7 linked regions of the Nothobranchius furzeri genome follow. The main gene of each other region encodes a partner of the protein of the gene in region 3 in a complex. Links are inferred from orthologs where the notes say so. Each region holds a gene or a part of one and is shown on either strand. Other genes may lie near its edges. The genes, in order: med31, med7, med24, med19a, crsp7, med25 and med4.

What was found.
Region 1: med24 (region 3) and med31 share a complex: the UniProt entries of both Homo sapiens proteins name them as parts of the mediator complex. The link is inferred for Nothobranchius furzeri from reciprocal best matches to the Homo sapiens genes MED24 and MED31.
Region 2: med24 (region 3) and med7 share a complex: the UniProt entries of both Homo sapiens proteins name them as parts of the mediator complex. The link is inferred for Nothobranchius furzeri from reciprocal best matches to the Homo sapiens genes MED24 and MED7.
Region 4: med24 (region 3) and med19a share a complex: the UniProt entries of both Homo sapiens proteins name them as parts of the mediator complex. The link is inferred for Nothobranchius furzeri from reciprocal best matches to the Homo sapiens genes MED24 and MED19.
Region 5: med24 (region 3) and crsp7 share a complex: the UniProt entries of both Homo sapiens proteins name them as parts of the mediator complex. The link is inferred for Nothobranchius furzeri from reciprocal best matches to the Homo sapiens genes MED24 and MED26.
Region 6: med24 (region 3) and med25 share a complex: the UniProt entries of both Homo sapiens proteins name them as parts of the mediator complex. The link is inferred for Nothobranchius furzeri from reciprocal best matches to the Homo sapiens genes MED24 and MED25.
Region 7: med24 (region 3) and med4 share a complex: the UniProt entries of both Homo sapiens proteins name them as parts of the mediator complex. The link is inferred for Nothobranchius furzeri from reciprocal best matches to the Homo sapiens genes MED24 and MED4.

Annotation. Positions count from the first base shown.
Region 1 is NC_091750.1:26,556,666-26,560,674, forward strand, and holds the start of med31 (mediator of RNA polymerase II transcription subunit 31), read right to left. Parts: upstream 2,801-4,009; 5' UTR 2,651-2,800; coding exon 2,626-2,650; intron 2,359-2,625; coding exon 2,284-2,358; intron 2,211-2,283; coding exon 2,114-2,210; intron 1-2,113. UniProt on the Homo sapiens protein: Component of the Mediator complex, a coactivator involved in the regulated transcription of nearly all RNA polymerase II-dependent genes.
Region 2 is NC_091742.1:50,786,542-50,790,516, reverse strand, and holds med7 (mediator of RNA polymerase II transcription subunit 7), read right to left. Parts: upstream 2,801-3,975; 5' UTR 2,659-2,800; intron 1,456-2,658; 5' UTR 1,447-1,455; coding exon 682-1,446; 3' UTR 132-681; downstream 1-131. UniProt on the Homo sapiens protein: Component of the Mediator complex, a coactivator involved in the regulated transcription of nearly all RNA polymerase II-dependent genes.
Region 3 is NC_091756.1:31,522,625-31,526,124, reverse strand, and holds part of med24 (mediator of RNA polymerase II transcription subunit 24), read left to right. Parts: intron 1-470; coding exon 471-584; intron 585-914; coding exon 915-968; intron 969-1,044; coding exon 1,045-1,127; intron 1,128-1,205; coding exon 1,206-1,292; intron 1,293-1,408; coding exon 1,409-1,520; intron 1,521-1,648; coding exon 1,649-1,791; intron 1,792-1,881; coding exon 1,882-1,919; intron 1,920-1,995; coding exon 1,996-2,078; intron 2,079-2,201; coding exon 2,202-2,380; intron 2,381-2,465; coding exon 2,466-2,565; intron 2,566-2,830; coding exon 2,831-3,006; intron 3,007-3,088; coding exon 3,089-3,353; intron 3,354-3,422; coding exon 3,423-3,500. UniProt on the Homo sapiens protein: Component of the Mediator complex, a coactivator involved in the regulated transcription of nearly all RNA polymerase II-dependent genes.
Region 4 is NC_091741.1:91,561,880-91,565,026, forward strand, and holds part of med19a (mediator of RNA polymerase II transcription subunit 19-A), read left to right. Parts: intron 1-1,154; coding exon 1,155-1,288; intron 1,289-1,371; coding exon 1,372-1,468; intron 1,469-1,549; coding exon 1,550-1,644; intron 1,645-3,147. UniProt on the Homo sapiens protein: Component of the Mediator complex, a coactivator involved in the regulated transcription of nearly all RNA polymerase II-dependent genes.
Region 5 is NC_091751.1:71,980,944-71,985,088, reverse strand, and holds the start of crsp7 (mediator of RNA polymerase II transcription subunit 26), read right to left. Parts: upstream 2,801-4,145; 5' UTR 2,593-2,800; coding exon 2,521-2,592; exon of another isoform or gene 2,424-2,520; intron 1,678-2,423; coding exon 1,603-1,677; intron 1,517-1,602; coding exon 1-1,516. UniProt on the Homo sapiens protein: Component of the Mediator complex, a coactivator involved in the regulated transcription of nearly all RNA polymerase II-dependent genes.
Region 6 is NC_091745.1:8,284,234-8,288,413, reverse strand, and holds the start of med25 (mediator of RNA polymerase II transcription subunit 25), read left to right. Parts: upstream 1-1,380; 5' UTR 1,381-1,506; intron 1,507-1,540; exon of another isoform or gene 1,541-1,561; intron 1,562-2,877; 5' UTR 2,878-2,887; coding exon 2,888-3,012; exon of another isoform or gene 3,013-3,029; intron 3,030-3,102; coding exon 3,103-3,148; intron 3,149-3,239; coding exon 3,240-3,364; intron 3,365-3,456; coding exon 3,457-3,555; intron 3,556-4,180. UniProt on the Homo sapiens protein: Component of the Mediator complex, a coactivator involved in the regulated transcription of nearly all RNA polymerase II-dependent genes.
Region 7 is NC_091754.1:35,370,361-35,373,040, forward strand, and holds part of med4 (mediator of RNA polymerase II transcription subunit 4), read left to right. Parts: intron 1-199; coding exon 200-370; intron 371-715; coding exon 716-773; intron 774-1,751; coding exon 1,752-1,838; intron 1,839-1,928; coding exon 1,929-2,060; intron 2,061-2,680. UniProt on the Homo sapiens protein: Component of the Mediator complex, a coactivator involved in the regulated transcription of nearly all RNA polymerase II-dependent genes.

The sequences.
Region 1 (4,009 bases), on a different chromosome or scaffold from region 3:
CAGAAAGTGTTAACGGTTATTTTATTTTTAAAGCAAGAATGTGGATTTGAATACATGCTCATGAATTTCAATTCTGGTGTATAACTCTTATGGTATCAGTATGCTACTCTTAAATTTTAGCTTAAGCTTCATATGGTGTGGGGGGGTTGGGGTTATAAGCTTCTGTCTGTACCCATTTTTTGATTGTCTAAGTTGTGCGTTTACTTGTAAAGCCACCATTTAAGAAATCGTGTTACGATCATGTTTATTAGCTCCTGATCCGATCGTTTTCAGCAAAGCATCAAAATAAAAAAAGATAAAAAAACACTTACAAGTTGTCCTTTGTCACTTTCATTTGTTTGGGAAGTACACCGATTTAAAAACGCGTTTACATTGTGAATATATTTAAAGGTTGTTTCCTCCTTCATTATGCAGCTGGACTGATGGATGCACAATCCCGTAACGGATAAGGTAAGCGGCACCTCTGCTGATAGGCTAACTTTTAACGCACAACACCTACCTGTGCTTTGGGCTTTGGGGCTGCAGGAAACATGTTTGTATGCAATTATTTTTTCATATATTAGCGTACCTTTCTGTCAGCTGGTTCCACTTTTTTGTCCGAGTTCACTGTGAACTGGGACTGTAAGTGGCAAACTGGGAATTAATGGAGACCGGTGATTCATTTTGACACCCAAAGGGGAAAGAGAAGGTAGTTTGTTTGAAGGCAGAGAATCATGGAAACATTCTTCCAGCATGTTGAATGCCCAGTATGCACTTACTACACGTGGCTGTTGCTCTGCCTTTTCTGTCCGGTTTAAAATACCACCATGCTGCAGACGTTAGCCTGTTTGCTAACAGCTGCAGCGTGGTGTCTGAATCTCTGCCTGATGTAAGTTGTGTGATGTTAAGGTGCTGTTTTTGCATACGAAACAAAGAATATTGATGTAGAGGAACTTGTTGAAATTAAAACTAAACTGGTAGTATTCCATTGGAAATTCTTTATCTCAGAATGAATTAAAAAAAGTCACGTTTGTTGTTTTAAAAGGTTAAATTTGATTAATTTCTCCCGATCCTTTTAAAATCACGCCACTGGATCGGAGCATCCCTACTTTTCAGGAAAACCACCTTTTATTAAACAACAACAAAGCGTGTAAAAATATCCAGGACAACTGCAATGTCCTTGAAGGGGGGTTCATCATGATGAGACGTACCCCAGTGGCCCCATGTACATCTTAGAAGAAACACCGATGCAGTGTTTGACTGATCGTCACTTTAAAGAACAAGTCAACCCCTACCAGAGTCTAATAACTCCACTTCCACTTCATGTTTGAAAAATGCAACAAATGCTGTTGCCTGGCAGACCGAGAGGACGGAGCCACTAACAAATACACACACACACAGGCTCACGATAGCATTGTGACATCATAATGTACCAGTTTACATCATAGCATACCTCTTAGCCAATAGCGGTTGCAGATTTAAATTCAAATACAGTGCAGAGTTTTTACCTGACAACGGCACAACACTGCCAGTTTTAGGCAGAATATTTAAATTTTAACTAAGATGCACTGAAGTGCCAAATTATTGACGACACGTGTCTGCAGCACGATTAGACACTCGTTTATTTAGTTTATCAGCAAAAAAATAGTTGATTTGGGGGTGACTTGCTCTTTAAAGAGCAAGTCACCCCCAAATCAACTATTTTTTTTCTGATAAACTATATAAATGCGTGTCTAATTGTCCTGCAGACACGTGTAGTCAATAGTTTTGCACTTTAGTGTATTTTAGTTAAAATTTTAATTTTCTGCCTGAAACTGTCAGTGTTGTGCCGTTGTCAGGTAAAAACTCTGCACTGCATTTGAATTTAAATCTGCCACCGCTATTGGCTAAGAGGTATGCTATGATGTAAACTGGTACATTATGATGTCACAATGTCGTGAGTGTGTGTATTTGTTAGTGGCTCCACCCTCTCGGTCTGCTAGGCAACAGCATTTGTTGCATTTTTCAAACATGAAGTGGGAGTGAAGTGCGCTTCTTGTAAGGGGTGACTTGCTCTTTAAAAACAACATGAGTTCCCCGATGAGCCAAAAGTACGACCAGCTTGGTCTGCTTGTGGATCCCGGACCCTTCTTACTTGAGGAACTTGGCATATTCAGGTTCCTTCCAGTAGAGCAGGTACTTCAGGTAGTTGATGAAAGGTCTCTCCCTCAGGTAACCCCTCTGAGCCAGAACTGAAACAGAACCAGATGTTTCATTCTGTGAACGTTAGGAACCCGCTTCTCTCGCTGTGGATCAGTCACTCACAGTTCAGGTAGTTCGGGTTGGCCAGACACTGGACAAACTCCAGTTCGGACTGGAATCGGTTCCGAGCCTGTTCATCTGGACCACATAAACATCCGGCACAACAGAAAACACGTTTAGTTCACCAGACTCCACTTAAAAACCAGACACTTTATTAAAGTGCTTCTATACTTTCCTTAAAACTTGTTCGAACAACTAAAAACACTAAAAGTGGGAAAACAACACGAATTTTAAAACTAACGGCTTCGCATATTAACCAAAAATCAACGTAACTGCTGTAATAATAGTTTAAAACCGGAATGTTTGTCTCCGTTTAAAACCGAAGCTAAAACATACACTACCAACCTGTTTCCATGACAACAGGAGTCATTGACTGGGGTATAAACCTAATATTTTCAAATTTGAACACAAAACTAAGAAAGCACAAATCTTCAGAGCCTCCGTCTTTGTTTAAGTTTAACAAACGCCATCAAACGTAAGCGGACTCTTGTGACGGGAAACCGAGCGTCCTTCACGACATTCACTACAGTTTACGGCTGCTGTAGTGCTTCTTTCTGACCACTAGAGGTAGCCACAGAAATAGAAACAGAATTTATTTGAGGGCAGTTAAAGCACACATGATATAATATAATATAATATAATATAATATAATATAATATAATATAATATAATATAATATTGACCTATTTCTCCTTAGAAAAGCTGGATTAAGCAAACATTTAAAAATAAACTCATCCATTATTTAGGTGAAGAATATAACTATAAATTATAGTTCAAAACTATAGTAATTGCATAACCATTTAATGTCTATCAGACTAACTAGCTAACTAACTAACTAACTAACTAACTAACTAACTAACTAACTAACTGAGGGTCTTAACAGTGTGGTATTCCCCTATAACGGCTGCCCAGCCCTGGGGCCTCATTTATAAAGCTTGCTTACTCACAAACAGGGTCGGAAAACTGTGTAAGCAACTTTACAAGCAAACTTTGGGATTTATGAAAGAAAACTTAGCGGAAGAATGTACACAACTTTAAGATGACTAAGCACCTGGCTTACGCACATTTTGGACATGGAGAGCACCTGCAGTGCTGCTGCTGAGAAGAATAAAATTATGAAATCCTGCAGCATTATCACTTGTACTGCTTCGTTTTCACACAGAACAAGACCCCCCCACACGCACACACGCACACACACACACACACACACACACACACACACACACACACACACACACAGCCTGACGCGCAGAATACGGAATGCAGAATATCAGCAGGGGGACAGATTGAGAAGGAATGTCATGCGTCTGTGACAGTGTGTGTCCTGTTACTGTAACTCGATTTATCATGCACCCTGGCTAGTTGAATAGGGGAGATCTCCATTTGGCTGACTGGTTAGCACATGTGACTTTCACCTGGGAGTCTGGGAATCGAATCCTGATTGGACCATCTTTTTTATATCTGCCACAGATCTCTCTGAAGAATTTACAACATTGACGGCTTCAGCAACGCTGCGTCTCTCCGTGGATTTTCTCTTATTTGTTTTGCAAAAGTACTTCCTTTCATTTCTCCACCTCACCCACAGGTACCTCAACTTCTGCTTCTGTGATATTGTGCTTCCTTGATCTGCCTTGATCTACGGTCGCCATGTCATTGGATGTGATTCAAGTTCTTGTGTGAGCCTTGAGCGCAGCTTTGTTTTATTTATACTCTACAGAGAAAACTTGCT
Region 2 (3,975 bases), on a different chromosome or scaffold from region 3:
CTGCAGCTTTCACCAAAGCAAAAGGGGAGGGGGGAGGGGAGGGCTCCCAATGACGAGACGGCTCCTGTCGTTCACTTCAAAGAGCCGGCTCTTAGAACCAGTTCGTTCGCGACCGACACATCACTATTAAATAGGTTTTATTTGAATTTTTATTGGAAAAATAGTGTATGTATAAAGTATCACATGTACAGACGACTGACAGACGTAAACCTATCAAATGTCACCTTTCAATTCAGCACACCCCAACCCTAAACTTGTCTACATTGCATTACATTTTAAAAGAAGGCAGAATGACTTAATTAAATTTTACTCAGGTCTCTGATGAATCAAGCTCTTTGATATGCCGACTAGCTAAAGGATCTACGCATCTACCGCTAATGCATAATCAGCAAACCACAGCGTCAGAATTAGCAACAAATTCTTAACAAAAGCACTTTGTGTTTATGTGGAACCATATTAGATCATCGTTTTTGTGACGGCACTAAACTCCTGCTGCGGTTTCAAATAGATTTATTGAGCCCAGTGAACACAAAGATCTGTATAAGATTTAAACGCTAAGGAAATATTTACAAGTACATTTAGTTGAATTTGAAAAGAACATGTACAAATAATAGTATTTTTATCCCACACAAAGTATTTCATGCTGAGTGAAAAGTAAAAACATGCATGTGCTGTAAATCTTCATGCTATCTCATCTATTATACTACACATGGCAGCATCCTTGTCCCATGTTTTGTCTGTTTTTGAACTTGGGACATTCTTGTCCTGATCACCTGCAGCCATGCAGCTGGCGCCCGTGTCCTCTACATCCATTGGTTCGGTTTTCAGAATGGGGGCCTGTCCAGAAGAACAACCAAAACTAGATCCAGCAGACACACTCTTGGTCCCAACACACACACCGTCTGTTACATCCGACTGGGGTAAGTCATCAGGTAGAGATGCAAGGCACCCCTGGATCATCTCCACCACCCTGTCCAGATGCTTCTGGAACCTCTCTGCCGTCTCCAGTCTCTGCCTCTTCTGGACCTCCATCATGACTCTCAGTGTTTCTCTGGCTTGGTGTGGCCTGTACTCGTTTATAAGATGATGCATGTGAACAAACAAAAGCTTCATGTCCTCCAGTTTCTCTTCACGCTTTATGCTGCCAGGACTCTTGATGAGAATGTCCAACAAGTCCAGAAAGTTCACAAGAATTGACATGTTTAGTTTTTTGAGCTGCCGCTTGTGGTCAAACTGCATTGGATGGAGCCTCTCGATGCCTTGGCTCTCCAGAGGTCGAATGATAAGGTCATCACACTGGAACTGGTTGCCAAACATCATGTAGCTGTCTCTAATGGGTGGAGGCGGCTTTGGGACCAGACCCTTGCGGATATTTTCATCTGTGTACTCTTTAATGTACTGCATAGGTGGTGGAGGCAGGGCGCTGACCTGCTGTGGTTCACCCATGATGCAGACCTGAAAGTATAGAAAAAGAAAAAACATTTATTAGGAATTCCAGGCACTATTAAAGATCAAGAAATGCCTAAATGAACTTTTTTTTAGCTGATAACCTGTACAGATGAGTGTCTAATAGTGCTGTAGACATGTGCAATTATCAGTGTGGCAGTTTAGTGCAACTTATTCTAAATTTAATATTTCAGCCCAAAACCATAGTTATATCTCCATCTTCAGATTAAAACTCGGCTCCACATTCATGTAGAACCAGCTGTGGCTGATGGCTAAGCTGAAAAACATGACATTATCAGCTGATTACTACTACTACACAATACATTACAGCTACCTAATGAGCACAATAACTTATTAGGTAACAGCATATCGTGTAGAGCTCTGCATCAAAAGATATACACTATTACACATAACAGATTGTAGTAAAAGCCTGAATGCCCCTCATTTGTACAAATAAATACTGTTAAATGTAAACTGCAGTAACAAATAAAATGTTTTTATTAAGAATTTATTATTGTTTGATTTACTTTTTGAGAGTTTCGATAAAAGATTCTCAAAATCCTTGTACATAAAATATATTTAAAAATTCGACAAACGTCATTCTCCCAATAACTGCAGGATTCTATCATTAGGCTGGAGGGGCAAATTCAATAATCAGCATACACTTCCAGTAAAGTGTTAGTCTAAAATCTAAACTAATGTGTTGCAGCACCAGTCCAGCACAAAACATTCAAAGCAAAACTAGATTCTGATGGGTTTTTAAGTTGCACCTACTGCTGTTGTTGGTAGGAAAAGTAGATATGAACTTAAAATGACACGTAAATTATAGTATACACACTACTGCTCATTTTGGCGTAAAACATTTGCAATCTAGTTTGAAGTAAAATTAGGCTTTATTAGCCATAGTTAATAATTATAGGTTTAATATCTGGCTGAAACGTTGTTCTTAGGTATTTAAGTAGTCAAATTCAACTCCTAGCACGCACCTAACCATTGAACCTTTGTCTTCTGTGTTACCTTTATTTTGTTACGGACTCAATGTGTTATTGACAAACACTACAAGCAGAACTACGTTAGCGTCACCGCTGCATTTTGTACAGAAACCTAGCTAACTATAGCCACCGCTAATCCCGGTAGTTAATTGGGCACGTCAAAAATGAAGCGAACTACATAAAAGGTAAATGAGAAGGGAGTAAATGTATTCATACCCACCTTAAGAACAATCCTTTAGAAACACAACATATACTTCTAATAATAACGTTAATCAAATATCGTTGGAAAATTAGATCAGGGCTAACATAGCTTCTTCGATAAATGCAGAAAAGACCAGTCGTTTCTGTTTGATTTCTATTGGCTGAACTGTCCTCGTGATTGTTTTCCTAACGCTGATTGGGGTGCGGTCACAGAAAGAGCTCAACGCTGATTGGTAGAAATATCCGGAAGCACGGAAAAATTTGTTTTTCTTTTACTTTGTTCTTCAGAGGATCGATGGAAAAAGTACCGTTTGATGCCCAAACTGAACTGATTTTATACATGAAAAAGAAAAGTTACTAAAATATTCAGATAACTGTTGAATATTTTTGAATGAAAATACTAATTTTAAAGACATAAAAACAATAACCTGTATATTAATTCCTTCGGGTTCTCATTTTACAAACTATGTCAGTTATTGTTTGTTCTTTATGTTTATTTAGCAGACGCTTTTATCCAAAGCGACTTACAATTTATGACCTATAGGGCATGTTGTGATCTGTTTGTCCTCTTTCAGAATCTGCAGAAATCTATGAATTTTATCCTAAAATAATAATAATAAAAAAAGATGATTGTGATTTCTTATGTATGTGAAACACCTGCCACAAACAGAACGGTGTAAAAGGGTTGATATCGATATTAAAAAGAAATTGGGTTGATAATGACAAACTGAATTCTATTATTCTCTTGTGAAAAGATAGTGAGCAGCATTTTAATTCCTAATGTTCCGAACCGGTTTGCTCACGTTTATTTATTTACTCCTTGTCACCTAGATGAGTTTTGTAAATTTTTATGTGGCTTAAGTAGTTTTTACTCTTTACTTTAATCAAGAATTTAATGGACTGCATTCACTGTAAACAGTCTAAACTTCTCTGAAAAATAACAATATTTTGACGTGTAACCCCTAAATGCAAAGACACATTTAGAGAAAGAGAGATATTTCTTTATCTTAACTTTTTTCAGTGATGTTTTGTGTTTTGTTACTCATTTTATCTTCCCAATTGTTTAAAAAAGTACTACCAAAACCTGGATTTCTGCATTCACAGTCCTGCTTTGGGCTTAACTTGTTAATTCTCTATAACATTAGTGAAAGTACATGTGCAGGGTAGACATCTACAGTGTTTGTGCATCAAACAGTGTGTATTTCTGCTTGCGCAAATCATTTGTTGCCACAAGGATGTGGTTTACTGCCTGCCGCAGCTTCACGCCGGAAGCTCCACAGCATCTACGAAGTTTATCATCCACAACTTTGCCTTTTCTTCTTCTGACTCTGCGAGG
Region 3 (3,500 bases):
CACTGATGTGTTTTTATTAAAGTAGACTTGCTGGTTTGTAATTTGGTTATTCCACATTCAGTGTTAATGCAAAAAGAAGTTTGTTTCAAAGTTAAAAGGTTCAAAATTGCATATATGTTGATAAAGAAAATGTGCAAATTTGCCGTCACTTTTTCAAAAAATAAAAAGTTTGGCCCGCGACTTCGTCCCAGATTTTCATTTCGGCCCAGTGTGAATTTGAGCTTGACTCCCTTGAAAAAGACAAACGCACAGTAATGAGATAGGTTTTGCTTTCTGTTCTACAAATGGACAGTAGAGGGTGCTAAAAGCAAGCCAAAACTGCCTAATTCCCCTTTAAGTTTTCATCATAAACTTAAAGAGACAAAACTAACGAGTGGAAATGGTGCAAAACAGCTCCTGGTGTCCAGATTCAGCGCTGTAGACACACACACCTGTGTATATTTACCTTTCATTGTTTTTTTCCTCAACAGCGAATCCCTGCTCCTCTTTTTATCTTGGAGATATGGAAGGCGTGTTTCACCGGACTCATCGAGTCACCAGAGGGCACAGAAGAGCTGAAATGGACTGCCTTTACTTTCCTCAAAGTAGGAAGATGTGATTCAAAGATCTTGACCCTGAGCCCACATCTGCTATTAATCCTTTAGTCTTTATTATGACTGCATTTAACGTGGCACAGACTTTTATTTAGCATTTTCTAGAGTTTAGTAAAGCGACATACCCCTTAACGCCTGGATTCATTTTCAATTATAAAAGTTTTTTTCACTTGTGGATTTTCTCAGGTACTTGCAGTATTTTGGTTGCATTTGGAGCAGATGTGGGTTTGATGCGAATTTGCGACAACCGGCGTTAAGGGGTTGAAGGTTGTTTTCTTGAGCTTTAGGCATCGAAAATGAATTTCGTATTATTTGCTTTAGATCCCACAAGTTCTGCTCAGACTAAAGAAGTATCCTCAGAGTGATAAAGGACAGGTACAGTATTTAACCCACTGATTTCATCATGACAAGTTCTAATTTTTGCTGTGACTAATGTTTAAACGTTTTCCAGGATTTTGTTGAGGACGTGAACGCTGCGTTTCAGTTTTTACTTAAACTCACCCCGCTGTTGGACAAAGCAGATCAGAGATGCAAGTGAGTGATTCAAACTTATTTGAGTCATCTGGTAAGACCCTGCAGACGTCTCATTCCTCCTGGTCGTTCTTCACATAGCTGTGACTGCCTCAGCATGCTTCTGCAGGAGTGCAACAAGCTGGGGCTGCTGTCAGACCCAAACACGGAGAACCTCACATCCAAACGGTATGAGTCTTTGCATGATGCAGTACGTTTCACATGAATGTGATGCAGCAGAGAACACGTTTTAAGTCTCCTTACCCCCACCCCCCTCCATCTTTCCTTCTGCACATTTCATTAAGCACCGAGGACAGAGAGTTCTCCCCAAGGCTAAAAACAGCAGAAAATGCAAACATCCAACCGAACCCAGGCCTTATCCTGAGAGCTGAGCCCACTGTCACCAATATTCTGAAGGTAACTAACCCAAACAACACCTAGAGTCATGTAACGATGTGAGCTAAGAAAATAACTTGAAGCAGAATAGTTCCTAAACTGCGAATCTCTTAAAGAAGCATCCCCCCCCCCCTTCTTTTTCTTATCAGACGGTAGATGCAGACCACTCAAAGTCACCCGAGGGTCTTCTAGGTGTTCTTGGACACATGCTGTCAGGGAAGAGCCTGGATCTGCTTCTGGCAGCGGCGGCGGCCACTGGAAAACTCAAATCGTTTGCCAGGAAATTCATCAAGTGAGTTGATATGTGATGTAACAGCAGGTGAGGACATGTTGGAGTTTTACCACCGCCGGTAATCTTGGTTTGTATTCTTCCTGCCTCTAGGCTCAATGAGTTTCCAAAGCACATCAGTGGAGAAGGATGTGAGTTGATGTTCCAGTTTTAATGACATAATATCGGTGATCTGATGTACTAACGCTGAGGATGTTCCCTTCCTAGCTAAGTCTGCTTCTGTACGAGCCCTGCTTTTTGATATTTCATTCCTCATGCTCTGCCATGTTGTGCAGACATATGGGTCTGAGGTGAGCTTGTCCAAAAACACAACTATAATATAGGGAATGTGGAGTAACATGGATTTTCATCTGAAGATCATCCAATTTTAGCAGAAAATGCTTCATTTTTCCTTTATTTCCATCTCCATAAAGGTGATCTTGTCAGACCCCAGTCCCTCAGGAGAGACACCCTTTTTTGAAACGTGGCTGCAGACGTGCATGCCTGAAGAGGGCAAGACGCTGAACCCGGACCATCCCTGCTTCAGGCCTGAGCCTGGAAAAGTGGAGAGCCTGGTGACCCTGTTGAACAACTCCTCAGAGATGAAACTAGTGTACGTTTATTTTATTTGTAGGTGCTTTCCTATTTCTAATGGAGTCTTGTTGTTTTTAAACAATCTGCGTCTGTTTTTTTAAAAGTCAAGTGAAGTGGCATGAAATCTGCCTCAGCACTCCGGCAGCTATCCTGGAAGTTCTGAATGCGTGGGAGAATGGCGTCCTCTCTGTGGAGGCTGTGCAGGTCAGTCTTCACCTAACCTCATCATGTCTGCCACCCTGAACACAGAACTGCACTTAACTGTGCCATGACTTGTCACCCTTTGTGCGTAATCTACAATGACGTCTTATTTTGCCCAACGTCTTATGCGTGCGTTTTGTTTTCATGTGACAGAATGTGGAAGGATGTCATTTGAGTCAGATCCTCTCACCTCTTTTTCCATTCTTTGCATCCTCCTCACCACGTTTCCTTCCTCTTTTCTTGCTGCGACCATGTCTGTTGAGTGTAGAAGATCACAGACAACATCAAGGGGAAGGTGTGCAGCATGGCCATCTGCGCAGTGGCCTGGCTGGTGGCCCACGTACGGATGCTGGGGAGGGACGAGAGAGAGAAACCTCAGACGATGATCCGACAGCTCGTGACTCCAAATTTTGCGGAAAACACCCTGCAGTTTTATAACGAGCGGTACAAAAATAAATGTATTCAATTCAGCACCGTGATCAGGTTATGGTGACAGCCCACATTATCTCCTTTCATCTCTCCTCAGTGTGATCATAATGAGTTCCATCATGGAGCACATGTGCGCCGATGTTTTCCAACAAACGGGTGCCGTCCTGCGGGCCCCGGTCGAGGGCCAGGAGCCAATCCCCTACCGCAACCTGCTGCCCGCTAAAGAACCAATTCATAAAGCCCTCAGTAAGCAGTTCCAGGTGGTGCTGCGCAAAGGCTGGGTGGACAGCCGGGCTCTGCATCTGTTTGAGAGCCTCCTCAACATGGGGGGGGTCTTCTGGTTCACCAACAACCTGATCAAGGTAACGAGAATGAATAAAGCATCCAATATGAGCTCAGATGGTATATAAACACCTGCTGTGTTGTTCCAGGAGCTTCTGAAAGAGACACGTCAGGAGTGGGCCACGCGGGTGGTGGAGTTGCTCTACAGCATCTTCTGTTTGGACACC
Region 4 (3,147 bases), on a different chromosome or scaffold from region 3:
CATATTTTTACATCGTTTTCTTTAGCCAGTATGTACTAAAATGACCCTTAGGGTGAAAAAAATGTCACTCAGACCCCCACCGCCCCCTGTGGCCAGAATATCACACTTGCAACTTGTCCGGTCCCTGATGGACTTAGTAAAGTGGAACTGACATGCTTCTTTAGCAATGACTTTCTATGGTTTCCCTTCCTTGTGGTAAAAAAGTTATCCGTGCATCCCTAATTTACATAATAGGTCAGATGAATTTTTTTAAACAAGTGACAAAATACTATACTTTTTCAGGATTTTCTACCTGTATTTGTCATCGTTTAAGCCAGGGGTGTCAAACTGAAATTCACTCTGGGCCAAACTGGAGAAACTAGAACAAAGTCATGGGAAAATGTTTATGGATGCAAATGCTTAAAATTTTCTTTATCTTCTGATTTGTGTTGTTGAATGTTTTATATGGAAACAAACCATAGTCTTGCATTAATAGTTACTCTGGAATAACCAAAGTTTAAAATTAACAACACACGGGCAGTTAACTTTGAAATAAAACACATCAGATGGAAACTGAGCAGAAGCCACAGAGTCAAATTTGAGCGTTTTACTACACCGGAGCTCATTTGGCTCCATTTGGAGGTTGCTTTCTGCGCTTTTCACGTCGGCCACAAATAGATTACTGAGCTGTTGAAATCTTGATATTTGGGCTTCAAAGTTGGCAAATTGCTGGGTGCTAACTAAGCAGTCATTTTTTTGTTTGTCTGAGACCGAATCTGTGGTCTCCAGGTCCGCAGCCGTACCCTCCTCGAGACTGGTAGCATGGATGCTGCTGATAATGCAGCAAAGCATTCTGGGATCTGTAGTATTGGCAACATATGCACTGGCAGGTCAGTTCTCGAGGGCCAGGGTTTGACTCCAGTGGCTTAAGCTATAGTTAATCTAAACCTGCATTCTGACAGGTGCTGGGACTTCTGGGCGCTCTAATGAATTAGACTTTGAGGGCTGAGGCTGTATCTCTAAAACCAAAAGTTTAACTTTCATTGTTTCTGATTTGTTGTTTTTTTTTAGCCTCTTTAATCTCACCTGGACTCCTCACTATGGCCTGTAAATTACACGGATCCCTTTCAGCCACGCTCTTTATTTCCACTTTTATAGTGTCTCTTTTGTTGCAGGTATGATCGACTGTCCGGGCACTCAGGACGGCAGCTCTCTGCGCTCTCTGATAGATAAGCCTCCCGTTTGTGGGAACTCGTTCAGCCCGCTGACTGGTGCTCTGCTCACAGGATTCAGACTACATACAGGACCGGTACCACAACACTGATTATGCCTGATAATAAATGATCATCTTATCCCCGTTATGTAACATGTAGTGTTTTTTTTTTTTTCCAGCTTCCAGAACAGTACAGACTGATGCACATACAGCCCCCAAAGAAGAAGAGCAAACACAAACACAAGCACAATCGACCACAGGACCCCCTCCCACAAGGTCTGGTGGCGTGTTAGTGAGGTCAGCTGAAACAAGTGCTACGTGTTTTTCACCACACTGACACGTCTGTTCTGATTTTAGAAACTCCGTCAGACTCTGATCCCAAGAAAAAGAAGAAAAAGAGGGACGATGATCCTGACCGCAAGAAAAAGAAGAAAGACAAGAAAAAAAAGAAGGTGAGAAAATTTTAAACACTAATTAAGTTTCTAGCTGGGCATTAAAAAGATTTAAAATGTTGACTCGGAATAGCATTGTGACATAAGTCGCACAGCAGTTTTGTTTTTTCATCCAGTTCTCAGTATTAATGAGTACACCCCCTTTGAAGAGTACAAATTTAATCAGTAGCTCAATGAACTAAAAAAATTTTCCAGAATTTTAACAAGGCTGGGTTTTATTAAACACTTGCTTAACTCCATAACATGAAATTAAGGCTATTAATATGACTTGGATCACAAAATCTTCAGTTTTGCTAAAATTGGTTTTAGCAAAAAGGAATACACCCCTCAACAAAAACTACTACATCAAGTCTTCTAGGCATGGCATGAACAAGATGGTGACATATTGCAACATCGGGCTGCATGGTGGCACAGTTGTTGCACTGTCGCTATTTCTGCGTGGAGTTGCGTGTTCTCCCCATGCATGCTCGGGTTTCCTCCGGGTACTCCGGTTTCCCCCACAGATCACAACATGCCCTATAGGTTATAAATTGTAAGTCGCTTTGGATAAAAGCGTCTGCTAAATAAATAAACATAAACATTAACATCTATCTTTTTCCATTCTTCAAGAATAACGTGTTTTATAATCTGGATGCTGGATGGAGAGTGATGCTCAACCTTCAGAATTCCCCACAGGTGTTCAGATCAGGAGACATACTTGGCCATTCAATCACCTTCACCCTGTTCTTCTTCAGAAATGCAACAGTAGCTTTAGATGCGTTTTGGATCATTGTCGTGGTGGAAACGTGCACAATGATTCAAATTCAATTCAATTCAAAGATACTTTATTAATACCAGAGGGAAATTGATTGCTGTAGTAGCTCAGAATAATAATAATAATCAAGTCATCAAAGAGTTATTGTATATTACAATGGCTGTTGGCAGGAAGGATCTCCAGTAGCGGTCAGTGTTGCAGCCAAACTGAAGAAGCCTCTGACTGAAGACACTCTTCCGTTGTCGGACAGTCTTGTGAAGAGAATGCTCAGGGTTGTCCATCATTTTCTTGATTCTCTGGAGAATCCTTCTTTGCATTATCCCCTCCAATGATCAAGTGCATGGAGTGATGGCTGCATCTTCTCCTTCAGTATAGAACAGGACATCGTTGAGTTCATGATGCCATCAATGAAATGCAGCTCCCCAACACCAGCAGCACTCATGCAGCCCCACATAAGGACACTGCCACCACCACCACGTTTCACTGTAGGCACCATGCATTTCTCTTTGAAATCCTCACCTTTACAACGCCATAGTTTTGAAACCATTACTTCCACAAACTGTGATCTTTGTCTCATCACTCCAGAGTACAGAGTGCCAGTAGTCTTCATCTCTTTCAGCACGGGCCCTAGCAAATCCTAGGTGTGCTTTTTGTGCATGAGCTTTAGGAGAGGCTTCCTTCGTAGACAATACCCATGTATGCCATTCCTCTGCAGTGTGCGTTGTATGGTGTCATGGGAAACGGTCACT
Region 5 (4,145 bases), on a different chromosome or scaffold from region 3:
TGTGTATTCTGTCCAGGTCCTCATCCGTCACCTCCCGACTCACACCTGGTAAATCTCCTGTTAAATGGTCCGTCTGCAAAACGTGTGTTTTATTTGAGTCTTTAGTCTCCCTTTCTTCCCTTTTTAGATATTCTGACATGAAGAAGTGTGCGCTAGGGGCCTGGACCCCCGAGGAGGTGAGCACGTTGCTCTGAAGGTTCAAGTAGGATTGGATTATTTCATTTCTAGTCAGCTCCTTCCAGTTGGTCTGGTGGAAGGGGTTTGAGCTGGGACCTGGGGCGGGGGCTGCACAAGGGGGCTGTTGGACAACGACTTCAGTTCTCTGCCTGGACTCTCCCAGGTCCGGAGTGGGGGGGTCCTCTGTTGGAGAAAGTTCTTTATGCACCAGAGGTTTGATCTGACCAGTGACCGGGTCAAATGTCAGTCTGCGTTCTTTTAACCGCACAGGTTTAGTCGTGTCCTCTAGTTTCAGGCCATCCAAGTTAACGGAGTAGTCTCTAGGCCTGTACTTCCTCCTTTTATGCTCAGAGTTAAGGACTGGCCCATCAGGGTCATCAGACACACTTAAGCTTCTTTCAACCACCAACCTGTGGACCTCTGAGTTCTGCGGGGGAGGCGGGGGGGAGGGGGAATCCAGTGTTGCAGATAGATCTTGGGGAGAGCAATGAGAGAATACCTCTGATGAATTAGCAGAGGGCACTGAAGACCGAAGAGAAGAAAGTTTTTCACTGTGAGACACCGGTGCTGGGGAGGACAGAGGCTGGGAGAAGAACAGGGGGGAGTCTCTAGAAGATGGGCTGGGGACCGGCGTTCCCTTTGCTACGTACGCTGAACGCTTAGAAACGGGGTCTTGCTTTAGGCTCCTGGGACTGGAAGTGAGACTGCGGGGACTCCTCGCTGGGTAATAGCCCCCGCCCCCTTCTTCCAGTTTAGCTTGCTGTTGCATCACAGCAACTTTAATCAACGAGGAAGTGCTAGGTGCTTTGGCCATGCCAGGGGAGCTGGGACGGGGCTTGACAGCATTAACTGGAATTCTGTTTCCTTTGTCATTTTCAAGGTGGTCTGTCCGAGGCCTGTCAGGAGAAGGAACGACCTCCTGGTCGGCCAACGCATCGGCACCACCAGCAGTCCCGTTGGTGGGTGGCGGAGAAACAGAGTCATCAAACGCCGACAACCTGGAGATTTTTTCTGTTACGTACACGCCACTGTCTCTGTGCTCTGCCCGCCGCTTGCGGTTACTTGACTTCTCAGCCTTAGGCGAGTATGTGTTGTGAGCATCACTTCGGATTGTGACTTCTGTGACCGCTTTCCCCGATACAGAAATGTCAGGGGGAGAGGGATCGGTTTTGCAGGGATGGGAACTGCCATTGGTAGACCCCGGGACACTTGCTGAAACAGCCGGCCCAGGTTCAATCAGTTTTTGCCAGTTTCTCAGGAGTTTCTTTGCACGCCTTGCAAGGTCTTCATCCTTGGTTTTCCTCCTTACATCATTAATCAGTTTTCCAAGTCGAGTTTCCTGAAAATAAATAATTAAAAAGTGAAAACTATTTTGGCACCACAGCCTCTGTAGGCATTAACCGCCTATGACACGTTCATTCTTACCTCAAGTGCTTCTTTGGTAATCGGATACTTCTCAAGACAAGCGATCACTTCCAATACAACCACCATGTTGCATATCTGCAACAAGGACATGCCAGCAGTTAGTAACCCCCAGCTTCTACTGGTGGCAGTAATATTTAGATTTACAGCTGTAGTCTGTGGATGAAAATGTAATCACACTGGACAATCCCACCCAATCACATTCCCACAGTAACAGGAACTCCAGAGATCTGGACTAACTGCTCCCTGACTCCGGGGTGGAAAACAACATGTTCATCGGGAGAAACTCAGCTGGATGTTTAGCTCCAGAAACCGAACGATGTTGCAAAGCTGATGTGGCACAGAGACACTCAAAAATACCTGGAATCATCTCAGCAAAGGTTTATGAACTTGGAGCAAACCGAGCATCTTGTCGACAGCGTCAGCCCTAGCCCGAGTCGGTGGACCTGCCTGTGTTAGCTAGTCAGGGTAGTTAGCATTTAACTTACTTTAGAAGGAAGGAGCATTTCCTCAACGCTATTCCAGCCACTTGGTTCCCTAAACTTTGTGATTGTTTAAATAAAACATTTTCACTAAAACTGTGCTGTTTGGGATAACTTAAACTTTTCTTTAGATGAGATGATTTCGTAAAACAACGACTGGATTGCTCCTTTATACCAAATCTGCTTTGGTGTTAAGCTACGTTAGCAGCTAACAGGCTACATAACGGCAGATATCCGTCCAATCAACGCAGCGCTGCTGCTAAATTAGCTGGCATGCTAGCTGTCAACTCGCCCCGAGCCTTTTTGTCACCGAGACATCCGACGTGTCGAGGCCGAGCGCACCTTTCAGCGTAGTTTGTATAAACAGCGACGTGCCACCCGAACAGCTGCGTGGATGTTGATAGGCAAACAAGCTAGCGTTAGCTTTAGCATTGCTCACATTGCTCTGACTGTCAATGGCCTGCAGCAGCCGGTCCTTCATCTGCTGCGGGGTTGCTGAGACCGTTGTCATTGCCTGTTCGGTGCGATCCAGGAGATGGAGGGAGGAATCCTCCAAAACGAAAGCCGGGTGACTCAGAAGCCGCTTCGGGAACACGTCGGGCGCCCGAGCAGCATGCTTTCTGTCGCATGTAGGTCTGAGTTGATCTCACATGGAGTCGGAAATATGTGAGCGGAGCGGAGTCGCTGCTGCCTCGGACCTCCTCTCACTACCAACTGCTGGATGCCTCAACGGCCTCCTGCTGCATGCTGGGATACGATGTGTCTACGTCATCACGTTCGTACGTAACCAAGTAAACATCCCGACCACAGTGACGTTTTTAAATATAAACTTTGTGAGTTGTTTTTCAGTAAATATTTGATTGACCGATTTTATATGAAACGTTTAAATTAAATTAAATTCAAGTTTATTTATGCAGCAACTTGGTGGACTGAATGACGGACTGACAGTTATGAAAAACCTGTTTATTACAGATGATACATGTTTGTGATTATAAAAATAACAGATCTAAGACAGATGCTAAAGCACATTGTGATTTCCTACGGACCTGTGAAAAGGACAGCTTTTGAGAGCTTCTGGCTCATGCTGTCACACTGAAAGCTACGAGTGGCTAATCTTGCAAGGTGGTGCATCCTCAGCTTAAAGAACAGGGAGACAACAGATGTCAACAGTGTACGGGAGTGACACTCAGTTCCGTACGGTGTCTCACTGATGAGCTCCCCGAGCAAAAACACATCCTCTGACCCGATCCTCTTGTGCACGATGTAGATGACCTCCAGTGGTTTGATGGGCTGTGATCGTCTGCCCACTGATGCCTGGCGAATTGCCCACTCTGCTGCTCTGATGACCCTCACAGCACCTTCAGATGGGACCACAAGACCCCGTTGTTCTGCAGAGACAGCAAATGTAGCTCTGGTCATCACAGGCAGATGCAGCATCATCACCAGGCTGGCACGGCAGACATCACAGGACAGCTTGGTCATGGCTCGCCGCACAACAAATCCTGAAATTACAATTACTAATGTAACTGGACAGTGTGCTTGTCTTCATACTTTACATAAGCCTATAGAACAACACGGTGTCAGGTGAGAAATCAGACAAGAACTACAGTTTGTCTACCTAAAGTAATCATGATTAGTAAGTGTGGCATTAATTCCTTGTATTTATTAATCAGGGGGATTTGATGAGCCAGCAGTTTTTCTAAAGACTACAAACATCTTTTGTGTTTTTCTTCTGACCGCTTTTTTAGGTTCTTTTTGAAACACGGGGAAGGTTTTTTACCTGCTGACACTTTTGATTGTGTCTGCGATCTTCCTCAGAGCTGACCCCACTGAGCGTTTTTTTTACACTATCTGAATGAATAATAGTTCAAAAGCAAAGCAGATGACAGAGACTTATCAGCCTAACACAGTTGAATGTTTGTTATTGTTAAATCGTATGAATGACACGTTGCCGTGACTGAAGACATCGTCTATTAGAGCATCCATAAGAAGCACAAAAGTCAGGCATGCTTGTTGTGTTTCACGCGTATTTCGTGTCCCATTGATCATTTTTCCTTGACCACA
Region 6 (4,180 bases), on a different chromosome or scaffold from region 3:
GGATCTTATGCATGTACATAAGCCGGCTGTTGCAGCGCTCCGCCAATGACGATGGCGACCGTAGATCAAGGCAGATCAAAGAAGTGCTATTTCACAGAAGCAGAAACTGAGGTACCTGTGGGTGAGGTGGAGAAATGAAAGAAAGCGCTTTTGCAAAACAAATAAGAGGAAATCCATGGAGTGGCACAGCGTTGCTGAAGCCGTCAATGTTGTGAGTTCTTCAGAGAGAAATGGGGCAGATATAAAAAAAAATGGTCCAATTGGGATTCGATCCCCAGACTCCCGGGTGAAAGTCACGCACGCTAACCAGTCAGCAAAACAGAGATCTCCCTTGCCTAAGTAGCCAGGGCACATCATCAATTGGGTCACAGTGACAGGACACACACTGTCACAGACGCATGACATTCTGTCTCAATCTGTCCCCCTGCTGATGTTCTGCATTCCGTATTCTGCGCTTCAAGCTGTGTGTGTGTGTGTTTTTGTGTGTGTGTGCGCACGCGCGTGTGTGTGTGGGTGTGCGCGCGTGTATGTGTGCGCTCGCGTGTATGTGTGTGGGGGGGTTCTTGTTCTGTGTGAAAACGAAGCAGTACAAGTGATAATGCTGCAGGATTTCATAATTGTATCCTGCTCAGCAGCAGCACTGCAGGTGCTCTCCATGTCCAACATTTGTGTAAGCCAGGTCCTTATCCAACTTAAAGTTGCTCACATTTTTCTGCTAAATTTTCTTTTATAAATCCCAAAGTTTGCATGGAAAGTTGCTTACGCAGTTTTCTGACCCCGTGTTATAAGCAAGCTTGATAAATGAGGCTCCAGAGGCTTAAAAAACTCCAGGTGGATCTCCTCTCCATTCAGATCCTTGCCACCAAGGAGCTTTTCATGTTATACACACCCATACACACACACATACACACACACACACACACACACACACACACACACACACACACACACACACACACACACACACACACATACATACACACACACATTGAGTTTACTACATTTGAAAATAATCATAAACTGGGTGTGAGAATGGTAATACGTTCATAAAATAACTTTGAGTTGTTCTGGGACTTTGATCTCACCACCATCAGTGGTCTTTCTGCAGAACTGGGCTCTTTTCTCATGAAAGAGCAGTTTCAGTCTAAAATGAAGCCACAAACAAAACTATAGTTGTGTAAACATTTTACAAAGTAATAGGTAAAATCAAAATGAAAAGGTATTACATTTAGGACACATGTTTTCTCTCCTGAAAAGAATCTGTGTGAATGAGGTTTGGTGATAATTACTTAGAACAGAAGGGGGCAGCACCGCGCTGTTCAGCCTCCTGTCTGCAGAACGAAAATGGCGAAGAAGATGTTTTTAGTGGCGGTCGAGGGTCGTGGCGTCACTTCCGTAGAAAATTACCTAAACACGGTGATGTTAGCTGCTCTGTTGTGTTTATATTTGGTTTAGGTTCGTTTTGTTTCTCATTTAAAGCCTCCGCTGGTCGCAGAACACCATCAGGTCAGTTCTTATCTGCTGCTGACCAGATTCTATGTGAAGCTTGTTGGAACTTTTGGTAAAAATCGCACTTTTCTTGCTAATGCTAATAATGATGTTCATGTTGTGTCTTCGTGATGATGAGCAGGTCTTATTCACACCTGACTCTAGCGTTCAGCTAAGATGAACAAAGTTCTAATCTGCTGTAGGATTTACGTTAAATCATAACTTTTCTTATTTCCAGAGTGGGGCTTTTCTTAACCCTGCAGTGTTTACTTTAGACACTACAGGATGTTTTATACACTTAGCCGCCTATATGTAAAAACAGCAGGCTGTCTCTTATGTGGAAATAACTATGGGATTCAAAGTCCATTTTGCAGGATGACTGTACTAAATAGAAAGCGGTTTCTCTGTTTTTTCCACCTAGACTTGATGTTAGAAGCTTCACAGATAATCCCTCATACGATTGTGCGAAATATAAGGTTATTTATAATAACTTAATACCCAACCCTTTTTCTTATCTTCTGAAATCGTCTTTCCCTTCTTCAGGTTGTTTGGTTTTCTTTTAGAAGTTTTTCCTGTACTTTTGTTGCTTTTTAGTCGTTTGTATCCAGTTTATGCTCTTGATCATAACAGTGTTTTGTCTAACATGCATGAAAAAGTAAGGAATACCATCAAGTGGAAGATGAAGAGAAGTGTCAGATCTCCAGTGGAGGAACAGTTTCTGAAAGTCATCCCTCTATAAAAATATCGAAATCCGTACATGTGGAAGGTCCCTCGGATGATCATTTACTGTATGAGAGCTGCACAGTAGCAGAAATTAAAACATGTATATAGCAGGTTATTATTGAGATTCAAGCAGATCTTTGCTTTACTGACCATATATTTGCTATGTACAGAACAGTTCTATGCCGTATCACATCTTTATAGCTCCTACCTCTTTGGGAACCACCTTGTTGGTGTTGAAATAACACTTTTTGTCTGACTGTTATTTTTGGTGTTTTTCTTAGGTAAAAACACAAAAGAAGCCGCATGTAACAGCAAGCCAAAACAGATTTAGTTTGTTTTCTATGTTCTGTTAATGTCTTGTACCGGTTCAGGGCAAACCAAATAAAAATCATTCTTCTGTTATGGTCCTATGCCGGACAGAAACGTAGCAGAAAAGAAGCCAAAGTCTTAAGAAAACAAGAAAGTTTGGCTGCTTGAAAGCAAAATATGAGGAAATGAAGTTGGACTTGGAACGTTAGCATCCCACTACTTTCCCCATTTAATTATTAAAGTGTACACATGTATGGTTCAGCTCTGTATTCTATCAAGTTGCTGGAATTTGTTTAGATTTCTTCAAAAGCCTTAATAATTTGGTTCATTCCATGATGAGATCATCTTAATGTCCAGATCAGCGTTCATGGAGCCTTCCAGTAAACCTGGTTTCAACCAGGTGGCTGATGTGGTGTTCGTCATCGAAGGAACAGCCAACCTCGGACCGTACTTTGAATCCTTAAGGAAAAACTATATACTTCCAGCAATTGAGTAAGAATTCCTTAAAGGTAAAGGCTGTTAGTCTGTGTCTGCTTTTGGTTAGTTATGGAATAATATTTTTGTTTATTTTATCCGTCATAGATATTTCAACGGAGGGCCTCCAGCAGAAACAGATTTTGGTGGAGATGTGAGTGGTATTTTTATATTGTTTTTGCTGTGAGTTTGGGAGGTATTGTTGTTCAAAAACCAAAAAGACCCTCTGTTCTCTGTTTTTATAGTATGGAGGAACCCAGTACGGCCTTGTGGTGTTTAACACGGTTGAGTGCGCTCCTGAATCCTACGTCCAGTGTCACGCACCAACTAGTTCTGCCTTTGAGTTTGTCTCATGGATCGACAAAATCCAGTAATGCTTTGGGAATAGCTGCAAAGTTCTTAATGCTTAATATCCATTTTTTAATTGAAAACATGATTGTAATTTACTTTTCTTTCTGCCAGGTTTATGGGGGGTGGAGCAGAGAGCTGCAGCCTGATTGCTGAAGGGCTCTCTGTGGCTTTGCAGCTTTTTGACGACTTTAAAAAGATGAGAGAACAAATGTAAACGAGCATTTCGATTTTGATTTGCTGAAAAGAATTTGTCATAATAGTTTGTCGTAATACTTTTCTTAGTTTAGTCAAATTAGAACTAGGATTATGAAATTTCATGTGGAACACAAAAAAAATTTCTTTAATCATTATTTCTGATTATAATTGGTCATTCTGAGTTTTTCATGCTGGCTGAACATGACAACAGTCTCCTACACCTATCTCCTGCATTAGCTTCTGATATAAAATAGACGGTGAAACTCTAGGATTGGAAAATCCACACAGATCTACATCACACTGTCACTTAATGGGCTCGACACACGGGAGGCGACAAACGACCGCGATCAGCGAAATTTGTTGCTGTCGCTTTTATTACCTGACACACGGGAGGCGGCCAGCGCCAAAGTCGTCTACGCGTTCTGTTTCATGGCGAAATCTAAACTTGCGTTGTTTTGCTTGGCTGTGTCAGGTTGGAGGGAATTAAGGTTATTTAATCTGTTCAGAGTTAATAAAGCGATAGATATGATGTTTCACAAGTTACTGTTAGAGTTATGTGAAATCTTACTTGTGATTTTACTATATAAAACATAATCAACTTCTCCTCCATGTTTGCTCGGAGGAGTTTACGGAGTATCCT
Region 7 (2,680 bases), on a different chromosome or scaffold from region 3:
TTTCATTTTTGAGTGTTTACATTTCAACTACTACCTATTATTGTTATTGTTGGAATCACTTTTCCTGGAAGATCTGAGGTACACTGGTGTCTATAATGATGCAGCAAAGTCTGCTGATTAGACATGCCATGGCTGTTAACTGGTTATCCTTTGAATATGAATTTGGATGTAACATTTGCAATCTGTTTTTCCCATCTAGATCATTGATCTGCTGGTGCAGAGGGACACGGAGTTCCAGGAGCTGATGGAGGTGGCCCAGCAGCAGGGGAAGGTTCACCAGGAGATGCAGCTGCTGGAGAAGGAGGTGGAGAAAAGAGACAGCGACATCCAGCAGCTCCAGAAGCAGCTGAAGGAGGCCGAACACATACTAGTAGGTTTGTTGTAGGAATTGCAATGCGGTGATATGATTTAGCACCATCTGTATGAGCTGCATTCCATTCCTGCAGCTGTGTGCTGCTGCTTGTTTGTAAACTGCTTAAAGACTGAACTTTTACAATAGCTGATGGGAATTTACAAACCAAACAAAAGCATGAAGCTGTCATGGAGAAGGGTGGAGCAGCTGCTGCTTCAGAGTGGGTTTGTGTGAAGTCTCCACCAACGCTGCTGGTTTTGGTCAACATGAATAATTAGTAGAAACTCACAAACACATCATTCTTTAAATCTGAGTGTTTTCTTTCCTCAAATGATTTTTGGTTCCCTTGTTCTTTTATTTAAGGCCACCGCTGTTTACCAGGCAAAAGAGAAACTTAAGTCTATAGAAAAAGCCCGGAAAGGTGAGGAACACACACACACACACACACACACGGAACACACTCACATGGAACACACACACAGAACACGCACGCACGCACACACACACACGGAACACACAAACGTGCACGCAGGCACACACACACGTAACACGCATGCACACACACACGGAACACACACACGCACGCACACACACACACATGGAACGCACACACACACACACACACACATGGAACGCACGCACACACACACACACACACACACACGGAACACACAAACGTGCACGCAGGCACACACACACACACACGTAACACGCATGCACACACACGCACACACACATGGAACACACACATGCACGCACACACACACACACACACACACACACACACACACATGGAACGCACGCACACACACACACACACACACACACATGGAACGCATGCACACACACACACACACACGGAACACACAAACGTGCACGCAGGCACACACACACGTAACACGCATGCACACACACGCACACACACATGGAACACACACACACACACACACACACGGAACACACAAACGTGCACGCAGGCACACACACACACACGTAACACGCATGCACACACACGCACACACACATGGAACACACACACGCACGCACACACACACACATGGAACGCACGCACACACACACACACACACATGGAACGCACGCACACACACACACACACACACACACACACACACACACACACACACACGGAACACACAAACGTGCACGCAGGCACACACACACGTAACACGCAGGCACACACACGCACACACACATGGAACACACACACGCACGCACACACACACACACACACGAAACACACACGTACACACACACGTAACACACACGCGCGCACACACACGTACACACACACATGGAACACACACACACACACACTAATGAAGTCTGTCTTGTTCTTGTTTTTCTTTCATTTGTCTTGATTTTGAGTTTTTAATTGCAGGAAGCATTTCATCAGAGGAAATCATCAAATACGCTCACCGAATCAGTGCCAGCAACGCCGTGTGTGCTCCACTCAACTGGGTGCCAGGTAGGAGCTGGAGGCCCCTGCAGTTCCCACTGGCTGTCAGTAGAGGGCAGGTTTGACTTCATTAACACACCATCCAAACGTTGGTGACAGGAGATCCACGCAGACCTTATCCCACCGACCTGGAAATGCGCAGCGGGATGCTGGGTCACATGGCAAACCTGCCATCCAACGGTGTGAACGGACACCTGCCAGGTGATGCTCTGGCTGCAGGACGGTTACCAGGTAAGTTAAAAAGAGCAGAATTAAAACACTTGAGTGCCGCGTAAGTTCAGGTCTTTATGAAGACTGGTTTTGTTTTATACTGACACTTCAGAATGTGTCTTGTTCCATACCATCTTTATTTATATAGCATGTATAAAAGTAGCATGGCAGAAGACCAAAGATGCTTACACGGAACAAATCCAGCACTTTTAATGAGATGAAGCATCAAAAACATTTCAAAATTTAGCATAAAAAGAGAAAAATAACATTGAGACTAAATAACAAAAGATGGAAAATGTACAAACACTAAAACAATCAGCTGAAAAATAGATGAAATAGAAGCCAAGATAAGCTGTATAAACTGTCTTTTATAACAACTAAAACATTGGAGTGACTTAACTGTAGAGTTGGGCATCGAGCATCGATGGGAACCGGGACCAGGAGTGAGTTTTTCCCGGAAACGCTCAAAGTTTCTTTGGTGTGTTGTTACTGTGTCTAGTTTCTAATAACATTTTGGTTCTTTTTAAAACACAGAAACCTTTCCTGTGTTTTAAAAAGAACCAAAAACGCTCAGTTTTTTATTTCAATTCCTAGATCCTGACCGGAAGAGGAATTCGCAGCTGACCTCCGTGAAAAACAAA